Oryzias latipes: one gene and its partners. The protein of the gene in region 1 purifies or fractionates together with the protein of each later gene. This does not show direct contact. Links are inferred from orthologs where the notes say so. Each region holds a gene or a part of one and is shown in the gene's direction. Other genes may lie near its edges.

The links.
Region 2: the proteins of znf644 (region 1) and ehmt2 purify together in Homo sapiens (affinity purification with mass spectrometry; 3 studies listed by BioGRID and IntAct, with this or other methods). This does not show direct contact. The link is inferred for Oryzias latipes from reciprocal best matches to the Homo sapiens genes ZNF644 and EHMT2.
Region 3: the proteins of znf644 (region 1) and chromobox protein homolog 3 purify together in Homo sapiens (affinity purification with mass spectrometry; 3 studies listed by BioGRID and IntAct, with this or other methods). This does not show direct contact. The link is inferred for Oryzias latipes from reciprocal best matches to the Homo sapiens genes ZNF644 and CBX3.

What each region holds. Positions count from the first base shown.
Region 1 is NC_019875.2:5,868,125-5,871,776, reverse strand, and holds part of znf644 (zinc finger protein 644), read left to right. Parts: intron 1-612; 5' UTR 613-621; coding exon 622-2,992; intron 2,993-3,652.
Region 2 is NC_019869.2:5,431,842-5,436,191, reverse strand, and holds the start of ehmt2 (histone-lysine N-methyltransferase EHMT2), read left to right. Parts: upstream 1-1,502; 5' UTR 1,503-1,548; coding exon 1,549-1,575; intron 1,576-4,350. UniProt on the Homo sapiens protein: Histone methyltransferase that specifically mono- and dimethylates 'Lys-9' of histone H3 (H3K9me1 and H3K9me2, respectively) in euchromatin.
Region 3 is NC_019869.2:11,215,296-11,219,567, forward strand, and holds the start of chromobox protein homolog 3, read left to right. Parts: upstream 1-1,383; 5' UTR 1,384-1,515; intron 1,516-2,187; 5' UTR 2,188-2,195; coding exon 2,196-2,341; intron 2,342-3,005; coding exon 3,006-3,162; intron 3,163-3,261; coding exon 3,262-3,356; intron 3,357-4,014; coding exon 4,015-4,141; 3' UTR 4,142-4,272.

The sequences.
Region 1 (3,652 bases):
CTGTTTCCTTGTCAGGGTTTATTACCACCCCCAAATGAGACCATCCTTTTTGTTATAGATAGCATTGTAAAGAAAATCACTTCAGATGAAGGGATAACATTTTTAGCATGTCCCTTCCATTTCAACAGAGTACAACAGTACAATTCCTTTGTGAAAGGAACCCAATAGTTGGTAGTCAGAGGCTTGAGGATTCCCCATTTAACTTTTTAGACCATCTTTTTCTTTCCTTATCAGGATTTCTTTTGGCAAAACATGATTTTTCTAGTTTTCAATAATTTTCTTATTTTTAGAGAGCTATCAGCAATCAAACCTAAATGTTGGTGTGAAAATAATAAGCATTCCTCCCTCATCTGAAGCAACTCCATGGGATTATGCTAGGAATGTGTGAAGATTTTCAGCACTACATGCCAAATGAAACCAGCCCACCACATGTTTATCTTGCCCTTAATATAGTTCTACATTTCTCTTTTCTTTCTGATAAGGACTGATTCCTTTTGCAGCCAATTTGTGTGAACCAAAAAAAGTTGATATTTTATCATTTGCATAGGAACTCTGATGATTACAGTTTTATGATTAGGCGATGTTTCACAAAGCTTTACTTTTCTTTTTCAGGTTATTGCAATGGAAATGTCATGTCAGTCTGGTGTTGATGAAGATGACAAAGACGCAGATTCTGAAATCAGTGCTCTCATGCCACTGCAGGAGCCAGAGAGAATGGCACACCAATCATCTTGCACTGATTCTTTAAACACGCCTGCTACGCATCACAAAAGTGGCCTTGATGTTCTCTCTAACGTGGAAGTGTTGTCTTCTGATGACCAGGGAAATGGACCTTCTATGCATCAGGCCTCACAAGCCATTGAACACAATAGCTTATCTGTTGAGAAAGATGAGGAAAAAAGCATCACCACACTAAAAACTGTGCAGGAGATAGACACTGCAGGAATCTGGAACTTTGATGCGGAGTCTCCAGATGACTCATTGGATGATTTTGGTAGTGTCAGTGCCCTTAGTTGGGGCCCTCACAAAGATTTTATGGAGTTTCTGTGGGAGAATCATAGCGATTCCCCTGAAGAGGAAACTAAAGAGCAAACCAGTCCAACAGACAGACAAAGAAGGAAACGGAAAATGGACATGGTTGTTATGGTGGATCCATCAGAAGACTTGTACCCTGCTCTGGGCTCTAAGTCATTTGATGAATCATCTGATATTGAAGGACAGGTTGATACAAGTCCTATCAGAAAGACACCAAAGCTTTTCAAACCCCCAACATCACCAACAGGGAAGCCTTCCAAGTATCCCAATGGATCTGCAACTGCCATTAAAGAAATGCTACATAAAGCACCTGCGAGAATTTCACATGAAAACAGTTTAAATTGTGGACTTTCTCAATTTAAGGAGAAGCCTCCATCTTACTCATGTTCAAAATGTAAGCTTGTATTCAAGAAACAAGAACACTTGTTTCGTCATTTGAAATCTCATGTTGACCCTCCTGGTATTTCACCAAAGCCTTTTACCTGTGAAGAATGTGGGCAGTCTTTCAAACAAAGCAATGCACTTGCTGATCACATAGCAACCCACCAGGTAAAGAAAACAAGACACACAGAAGACATCAAAGGCAATAGGAAAAAATATAATAAGAAGCTTTTCTGTCCTCAGTGTCCATTCGTAACGAATTGCCCAAACACATTTGTCCAACACGCAAAAACACATGAAAAAGAAAAGAGGAATTTTGGATGTGACAGATGTAGTTTTAAGACACTAAGTTACAATGAACTCAGAAAACACGAGACTACGAAGCACCCTACTGTTACAGGTAAAAAGCAGCTACAGAGCAAAGATTCCAAAAGCTTCCCCTGTACCCTTTGTTCCTATAAAGCTTTTGCTGAACATGTTTTTCATAACCACCTAGTTCTACGTCATCAGATGACTTTGACGGAATATATGGAAGCACAGAACAATGGCAAGGTCACTCAATCTCATGGCCACAAGGTCACATCTCATAAGGCTTCTACTGCACAAAAAGAGTTTACAACTAATTTCACGAAACAAAATCAAAACTTCTCTAAAGGAACTCCTGATGAGTCCACTGACATTTCAGACTTGTTTAGCAGCAAGCTTCAGAAAGGTCCCAAGACTCCGTCAACAGAATCAAAACTTGATAGATCGATTAATGTTCTCTTGTCTCGACAAAGCCAGGGAAAAAAATGTCCAGATCAGAAAGAAGGCAATAATTGTAGTGCAAAAGCTCAGGATTCCACAATTGACAACTTTGATGATTGTGATTCTCTAGAAATGTTGTCTAGCAAAGTGGAAGATTCTGCTACGTCTGAAAACGGCCTAAAGCTTAATGTTGAAAATTCCTTCAAGAAGTCACAGTCAAAACGGAAGATGTCCACCCCATATCGCAACACCTCTGATCAAGACTCATACTTCATCTTACCAAAACATTTAGCAGGTAACAATAAAGTAAACCTAGAGGAAGAGTTTTCTGACTGTGAGGAAAACAACATTTTTCAGATCAATGAGTCACACGCCAGTAGTACCCTTTTTGAAAATAGTATTGAAAAAGAAAGAAAAAGTATCATTTATACTTATAGTAGAAGGATGTCCATGAGAGACGCTCTACATACTTCTAAACGGCTGTTTGAAAAGATAAAGACAGAAGATGAAGAACAAAGCATCCCAGATATTAAAGAAGAATCCATTGAAACAGAGGTTTTTCAAGAGACCTTTGAGTCCCACCAAATACCATTGGGGGAATCCCTTGAAGATGATCTGTCAGAATTAGAATCCGGCCAGAAGAATTGTCCATACTGTCCGGCTGTGTTTGAGTCTGGTGTTGGACTTTCCAATCATATACGAGGACACCTTCATAGGGTTGGATTAAGCTACAATGCACGCCATATTGTTTCTGCTGAGCAGGTGGCATCACAAGACAGGAGGCCGCGTATTCGAAGGAAGATTGCAGCCTTCCGTCGACTGAGAAAAGGTACCCATTACACACAAAAACACAAGACGTATATCTGAACGCAGAAAGTAACACGATTAAACGAAATGTGGATGATCTGAAATAACACTGAATAAAACAAAGAAGATCTGATGATAAGTAACTAAGAATCATTATCTGCAGTTTACCAACATTGTTTAGTAGAAGCAGTTTGATTATTAGAAGTACAACATTTCTGTACTTGTTACCATCTTTATTAAGAGCCAAACCAATACACTTCTTTTTCAACGAAGCATGAAAAGTAAGCATTTGTTTCCATAGATAATTCTTTTGTTGTAGCAATGATTCTGCACAAAAAAAAGTTTATTGTTGTAATGGCTGTTAATCATTCTTATCATTTTAACAGTCAGTACCATGTTTGTAAAGGGTATGTTTTTGTGGGATGACCAAAGAAGAGGTTATGGGTTGCTTCCATGAAAAAATTGCCTCGTCTCTTCCAGTGCCAAATAACTTGCTCTGTCATTTATTTGTTTGGTGGTTGATGGATTGGATGACTGAAGTTACAAAAACCTTGTCCTCATGCTAGTTACAGTGCCATGAAAATGTCCTAAAATGTTCCAAACTTCAACCAGGATTTGCCACAAGTCAGTTTAAATGGTTGAGATGGTCTTACCTGCAAACAGCTTCTCAAGCTGGATTCCA
Region 2 (4,350 bases), on another chromosome or scaffold:
GGCTTTCAGCTGATGAACAGAGGAAAAAACTTCGATCTGGAGCAGTAGAGATGTGCATTCTTGAACGCTAACTTCTCAATCTGATGAGTTCGGTTTGGCAGTTGCCAGAAGAACCGCATTTGTTATGATGTCCTAACGTGGGATGTTTCTCAGCAGCTGGGCTTGGCCCTTTTGTTCCAGAAAAACGGTCTTCTGAATGCTTCAACATACCAAGAGACGTGGACAATTCCAAGCCTATGAGGAGAGTCTGGGGAAGGTGGCTTCCTGTGGCAACATGAGCGCATGAGCGCCTGGTTTTGTACAAAAGCAGGGTCCACCAAAGACATGGATCGGATCTGCACAGAGTCCTGACATCAACTCAACACCTTTGGGACGAAATAGAGCAAAACCTATGACCTAAACGGAAAGGTCAAGCATTCCCAATAAGTTTGTAAAAATCTCTCATTTCAGATGTTATAGCTGCAAAGGCAGTTATCTGAAAGGAAGTCACTAATGCACAAAATCAAACAAATGTAAAAGCTAATTTTCCAAACATAACACACCTTTCTGTATTCATTTTTGTGTGATAAGTTCTTTGTTTTTCTTTTAAATTGAAAAATGTTTTTATCATATAAAACACTGTTCTGTGGGCATGAAAATTGCTTTACAAATAAAGTTAGATTTGAATTGAAAAACCAGAAATGTTGGTTTGGCCAAATTTAAAGGGAAAATAAACTGTTTATCAACAACACGAGTTTTTCCATTTAAAACGCAATAGAAGCTTTTATTATTACTCTTGCCTGGTGTAATAATAAAATGTAACTAAATACAATTATTTTTGCATCACGTGTATCTAATATCGATTTAGCATTCAAAGTTGGTAGCCTCGGGAAGAAAGGTTAGTCAAGATAGCTAATCTGGGAGTAAAAGAAGATTAGGAAAGTGTAGGTAATCCACATGTGTTATCTTAACCTAGGTGGTTCAATTTTTAGAGATAGAAACAAACAAACAATACAAATCACACATTTTTATTAATTTGTTTTACCTTAAACTAGCTAACCTCCTCGACTGTTAGCTAACGTTAGCTACCAACTAAACGCTCGTGCCTAAAATCTACGGTCCGATCCAAAGAGGATCGGCTCCCAGCCACAGAACCAAAGCTCCACAATTTTTGGAAACTTTGCGCTTATTTCTATACGTACCTTTGTCTCGTGGTGTTCGGTGATTTGTAGCGTCTCAAACAGAAGAATCAACTCCGAAGGCACACTGCTGACAACATGATCTCATCTCGTGGCCGCTGCTGTGCTACTGCCCTCGATTTTTTGTGTTTACTTCTATCGCCTCGTTTCTCCGTAGAGAGTGAAATTCATCACAATGAATCACAGACCGCCAGTTTGACATACGAAACCGACTTCGAATCGGTTTCCACGCGCAACTTTTTGTGGAAAACGGCCACGAGCCACGAGCACGTACACTGGTTTCTGATCAGTGATTCGGAATCAGTGTGCTTCGAAGGGGCGGGGCTGGAGCTGTGACGTAGCACGTTCAGCCGACGTGCTTCGGGGAAACATGTCGGCGTCCCACACAACGACAAAGGTAGCAACTGCAAAACGGGTTTACGAGCCCTTTTTACGCCTTTCTATTCTATTTTTACATACAAATGCGCATTAGTTTATTGGACATAATGAAACACAAGAATCCCGCATACCGTTAGCGTATTTGTGTATGTATAGATAAGAATTATTGTCTTGTAAGCAGTGTTAGGATGCTAGCAGTGCTAGCATGTAACAGTTATAAATGAGTATTTAGTCAACATTAATTCCTACACTTGACTCCCATTTATGACTATTTGCTACACATTCAACCCTTTAAATATATTTTTTTAATGTTTTAAATTATTCCACTATTTATCACGGAGTTCGTTCTTGTTGTTCTGTACGCTAAGTTCATCGTTTAAAATAGAAAACAAAGTGCACGAAAATTAATTTGTATTTAAGAAATATATATTTTTAAATGATTTTTGTGTTTATATTTGTGTGAAAGAGAAAGCTGGATATCTCTTGTTATGGGCTGGTTGACATGGCAACCGGGAATATAGGAGTTAGCATCGCCGGGAGGTGAAATTTGAAAAGAAAGTCTTAAGTTTTTAGATCAATCTTTTGTGTCATCATTTTTTAAATATAATTGTTAGATGGTATTTAAGTAACTAAAGCAGATTGCCATCCTACATACTTAGTTTTATCCTCAGCAAAGATTTAGGAGTAAAGCATTGATTTATGTGGAGAAAATATTATTATTACTAGTGTTTTTTTCTGGCAACATCAATTGAAAAAAACATTTTTTTTTCAACAAATAGTTTCCTATCAGTGTAAAAAATATGTGTTTTTTTTACTAGCTGTTTTCTCAGAGTCCATCACCTCGTGATAAACTGCAGTAAATGCATGACTTCTTGGGTTATTTTTTCTTTTAATCAGACACGTTTTGTGTTTTTTCACATACCTGACATGTTTTGGCGGCATCTGAGTCGTGATCAGGTGGTGGGGATGTGACAGGTGGAGCAGAGGAAATACTGTTATTTATAATAATGGTATTTCCTCTGCTCCACCTGTCACAACACCACCACCTGATAACGAGTCTGATGAAGGCAGAAGTGATTCCGCCGAAACGTGTCAGGTACATTCAGGAACATAAATATTTGGACATAGACAAATTCTTTCTAATTTAGTTTTTGTACATTACCACAGTGAATTTTAAATAAAACCACTTAGATGCCATTGAAGTGCAGACGTTCAGCTTTTATTCCATGGGTTGAACAAAAAGATTGCATAAAAATGTGAAAAACTAAAGCATTTTTTGAACACAATCCCTTCATTTCATGGGCTAATAAGTTATTGGACAACTGACTTCCATGCTATTGCATGGGCAGGTGTGGGCAATTCCCTTGTTATGTCATTATGAGTGAAGCAGATAAAAGGCCTGGAGTTGATTAGAGGACTCGTGCTTGCATTTTGAAGAGTTTGCTGTGAACAGACAACATGCGGTCAAAGGAGCTCTCCATGCAGGTGAAAGGAGCCATCATTAAGCTGGGAAAACAGAAAAAAACAATGCGAGAAATTGCTACAGTATTAGGAGTGGAAAAATCAACAGTGTGGTACATCCTGAGAAAAAAAGAAAGCACTGGTGAACTCAGTAACGCAAAAAGACCTGGACGGCCACGGAAGACAACAGTGGTGGATGATTGCAGAATCATTTCCATGGTGAAGAAGAACCCGTTCACAACAGCCAACCAAGTGAACAACACTCTCCAGGAGGTAGGCGTATCAATATCCAAGTCTACCATAAAAAGAAGAGTGCATGAAAGTAGATACAGAGGGTACACTGCAAGATGCAAGCCACTCATAATCCTCAAGAATAGGAAGGCTAGATTGGACTTTGCTAAAAAGCATCTAAAAAAGCCAGCACAGTTCTGGAAAAACATTCTTTGGATGAAACCAAAATCAACCTCTAACAGAATGATGGCAAGAGAAAAGTATGGCGAAGGCGTGGAGAAGCTCATGATCCAAAGCTCACTACATCATCAGTAAAACACGATGGAGGCAGTGTGATGGTCTGTGCATGCTTGACTGCTAGTGGCACTGGGACACTAGTGTTTATTGATGACGTGACACAGGACAGTAGCAGCCTAATGAATTCTGAGGTGTTCAGAGACAGACTGTCTGCGCAGATCCAGGTGAATGCAGCCAAACTGATTGGGTGGCGTTTCATAATCCAGATGGACAACGACCCAAAACATACAGCCAAAGCAACTCAGGAGTTTATTAAAGCAAAGAAGTGGAATATTCTTGAATGGCCAAGTCAGTCGCCTGATCTTAACCCAATTGAGCAGCATTTCACTTGTTGAAGACTAAACTTCAGACAGAAAGGCCCACAAACAAACAGCAACTGAAAGCCGCTGCAGTAAAGGCCTGGCAGAACATTCAGAAGGAGAAAATCCAGCATCTCGTGATGTCCATGAGTTCAAGACTTCAGGCTGTCATTGCCAACAAAGGATTTTAAGCCAAATATTAGTAATGACCATTTCATTTGTCCAATTACTTACGAGCCCATGAAAAGAAGGGATCGTGTTTAAAAAATGCTTTAGTTTTTCACATTTTTATGGAGTCTTTTTGTTCAACCCATGGAATAAAAGCTGAAAGTCTGCACTTCAATGGCATCTGAGTTGTTTGATTTAAAATTCACTGTGGTAATTTACAGAAACTAAATTAGAAAAAAATGTGTCTGTGTCCAAATATTTAGGGTCCTGACAAAACACAAACCATGTCTGATAAAAAAAAAATAACCCAAGGAGTCAGTTAATCTTATAGACACAAT
Region 3 (4,272 bases), on another chromosome or scaffold:
AAAATATTCATTATTACTGTGACCCCAAACAGATAAGCTGTCCAGTTACTTAAAAAATCTATCAGCAAGGCAAGATGTAACCCTTTAAATATTTGTCATTATGCAAAGGGATTGCTATGAAAACTATGGGTTCACAGCTTTACAAAGTCAGCCAAGTGTGTGAAATAATTGTGGAGTGCATGAAGTGACATTTTTCTTTTCCTGGTTTAGCTTAAAGTTTACTTTTCTGTCTCTAAGTTTCGCAAATGTGTGTCTTTCTTGTTTTTTGATTGTTTGCTTGTTGATTGCTGATAGTATGGTTTTTCTTGAAGAATTTAGGCGCTTTTGGGGGATTTGTTTACTCTGAATAAAAAAAGAAAGTGGCATTCTTGTTGTTTTTTCTGATAAATATAAGATTATTGTTCACATTTTATGTGTACCTTTAAGTCTAAGCATTTTTTAAAGTGGGGTGAATGTCTTTCTCCTAACTTAAGTACTTTGCTAGTGCTTTAAGTTTTTATTATTATTATTAATCCAAGTACAACTCAAATCACACCATTTGGCCAGTGCTGTAGTTATTTGGTATTGTCAAAAATGGTAAAGAAGACATTTTGACAAAATTACAATTTTTCTAGCAGAGAATTTTTTACTAACTCGGTTCACTTGGTGTAGAAGATATTGTTCACTATTGCAAATAAAAATAAAAAAATAGAAACATTTGGATTGCAAAAGTGTAGACTGAAGCACAGATCATTTTATTTCGCCTTCACACTTATAGCAAAGGTATTGCTTTAGTGTAACTAAATTTAACAGACAACCTTATATTTATCAAGTAAAGATTACTGAAAATGAATCACTTTACATTTGATAATCACATTGAGACAGTAAATAATTTTCACAGCTTTAAACACTGATACTTAATTTTTTTCACACTCAATCAATACAACTGCACTGACACAATATTGTTTTGTGTATTTGTTATTTTATTTAGGGCTTTATTATTAGGATTCTATGCACCCAAATTCTGTAGATCATTCTATAGCAGGTAAGTTGGTTTGCATAAAATAAACATTTTTTGTAGTATTCTTTAGTAACACGAGTTTATTTTAGCTCAGAAGTCATTTGTAAGCGTCAATATCAAAAAAACTCAAGACATACAGAATATTTAAAACACAAAAACAACTATAAGCTGTTCCTTTATTAGTGAAAACGATAGAAATGTGTCAATGTTTTAAACATGCTGCAAAGCTTTACTCGTGTATTCTCATTTTTCATTTAAAATGAAAAAACATATTTTAAAGATTGTGAGATAAACCGTTATATAAACTGAGAAAAAATAAATGACGTAAAAATAAACTAACAGGACACCGTAGAGTCACAAGTGCTCTAAAGCAAATTGTTTCCTTACGGGCTTCCGTAGCCTACTCGCCTTTTGCGTTTGGCGCGCACCCTCCTTTCTTCATCTGTACATAAAGACAGGCAGTGACCGCGTGGTTGAATAAGTCGTCACCGAGGTCATTTTCTAGGCTTTACAAGGTATGTAAGCTACGTTTACCGGTATTAAATGCTGCATCTCATCTCTTTGTTTTTGAACTTTTTTTCTTAAATAACTAAGACGTAAGGAGTAATTTAAGCTAACTTCTTCATCATAGAAATGAATGCAATGAACCGAACAGAATTTGTATTTGACTCTTCACAGCTCAAGCTTTTTAAGTTTATCAAGCCCGAGTGTTGTATGAATAGTATACTTTTAGTTTTAGACTGTTGATTGTCTCGTTTTGCTATTGCTATTAACTTAACACTAGCACGAACAATCTTTCGTTTTTTTGTTGGGTGTCGATATTGCTGTATTGTTGTAATTATTTGAGGCGTTAAGGTAAGATCTAAAGAAAACACGTTTTTGTAGCATGTTGATGTTCCTTTTTAGTAAAAAGATATAAACAATGGTACCATGGCCTCAAACTGTTTTGGCTACGTTAGCATGTTGGCTAACCCAAAGGACGCTAGTACCATTTACGGAAAACTTGCGGAGTGAACGTGGCCGAGTCGCGTCCGTCGTAAAAAGTTGGAAAAACTAAACACACACATGCTGTACACCTTTATATTTACGGTACAAGCCTTTCTGCTAAATGTGGGTCCTACAGGTGAAGTGGAAAAGGGCAGTTGCGTGATACATCGGCAATTGACTCTCCTTCCTCTTGGTTTTAGAGGCCAGAATGGGCAAGAAGCAGAATACAAAGAGTAAGAAGGACTCACAGGACACGCAGGAAGAGCCAGAAGAATTTGTTGTGGAAAAAGTACTCGACCAGCGTCTCGTCAATGGGAAAGTAGAGTTCTACTTGAAGTGGAAAGGATTTACAGAGTGAGTTAACTGGAGCCTCTCCAGCTAGTTCTTTAGAATGGGGAAGGGGGGTTGGCCTGTTTACTCTGTTACCACATTTTTATGTGGTTAAGGAATCAGACATTTACAATAGATTAGCATGAGCCTTAGATCCAATTTTAAAGTTTTTGTACATTTATACTATGATTCTTAATTTGACCCCTCCCCCTCCTTTAACTTGAGCTTTCATTTAGCTAAAATTAGCCAAATTTTTGGCCTCGATTTTCCTTCTGGCTTATGGGTATACAAAATGGGCTGAATACTTCAGGAAAAGAACAAGACAATTGGCTCGAATGTGGCAAGCATCTGCCCTTTTTCTTTGTTTTCCACTCACGCTGTAACTACCCATATAACGTAAACCAAAATTACAAATAGTTCATTTACATGCAAGAAGACACCAGATTATATGCTTTAGACAATTTTCTCATAACTTGACCAGTCTTGTTATTTTTTAAAGAACACCAGATTGCCCTGATCACTTGATAACCCAGATCATTTGGATCTGATTGGTTTCAGATTGTTCTGAACATGTAGTAAAGTCATTTTTGCATGAAGCTGCTAGTGTTCTCCGCATCCTGTTAGCTTTACATTTTTTTTAAAAGTCATGATTTATATGCAATTGATCACAGCCCTCTTAACTATTTAGTGCTGACAACACCTGGGAGCCGGAGGAGAACCTGGACTGTCCTGAGCTGATTTCTGCATTTTTGGAATCACAAAAGAATATTAAGGAGAAGCCTGCTGCTGTTAAAAGGAAAGCCTCCACAGATGAGCCAGAGACAGAGCCCAAGAAGAAAGACATGGTATGTCACAATGTCATTGCAGTACTTTGAGCTCAGTTCTAATTAGTCATTCTTCCATTTTAAAACTGTTTTCTGAATGTTCATGTGCTTCCACTTTAGGCTGAGAAACCACGTGGCTTTGCCAGAAACCTGGAGCCAGAGCGAATTATTGGAGCAACTGACAGTAGCGGGGAGTTAATGTTTCTGATGAAATGGTACATTTTTATAGAATGTCTCTGACTGTCTACTAGACAGAACCTTTAAAAGATGTTTATGAAATGAAAAAAATTATAAGATAAACATCCCACTTTAAAATCTGGTTCATAGGATTATCATTGTAAAACTCCTCACTACACACTTTATACACTTTTCTCAGACAAACAAACATTTTCACACTTTTCTCTCTTGTTTAAACTCTCAAATAAGACAATAAGTCCAATATTTTAGAAAGCAGACAAAAATCTGGTCACAATGGAAGATGTTTGTAATGGGCAAGCTAAACGCATTTGTACAGGAGACATGGGAGGGAGGAGATGGATGACATGGTCATCAACCAATCAGGATCCAGAGGGCAATCAAAATAAACATGCAAAGATATTTATAAAAATTTGAAGCAGCGATAGATAAACCACAGCATAGGGAGGGGTTAATGTAAAACTTGTTTTAGGTGAGCAGTACAATTTGGCCCAGAATGAAAACTTCTAGTTTGAACGTTGTTCACATTTTCTCTTAACTTCATTGGTTGGTTCACAAAAGAAACATTGTGGAAAGATGTTATTTATTGTGGAATATCATATGACTAATTTTTTTAAAGTAGTTTTATGTTGAATGTTTTTTTTTTCCATTTGTGTAACGCTGTTTAATTTTTTACAGGAAAGACTCCGACGAAGCGGATTTGGTCCCGGCCCGTGAAGCCAACACTCGCTGCCCTCAGGTAGTCATATCCTTCTATGAGGAGCGACTGACGTGGCATTCCTGTCCAGAAGATGAAGCTCAGTAACTGTTGTAGTTTGTGCTGTTCTTTGCATTACCTCTGCTCCTTTCTCAGGACGTTCTGTGCTCCTGTTTCCTGCCTTATCCTTCTAGTTACATGAATTACATAGATTTTTTTTTTTTTTACGCTTGTGTGGT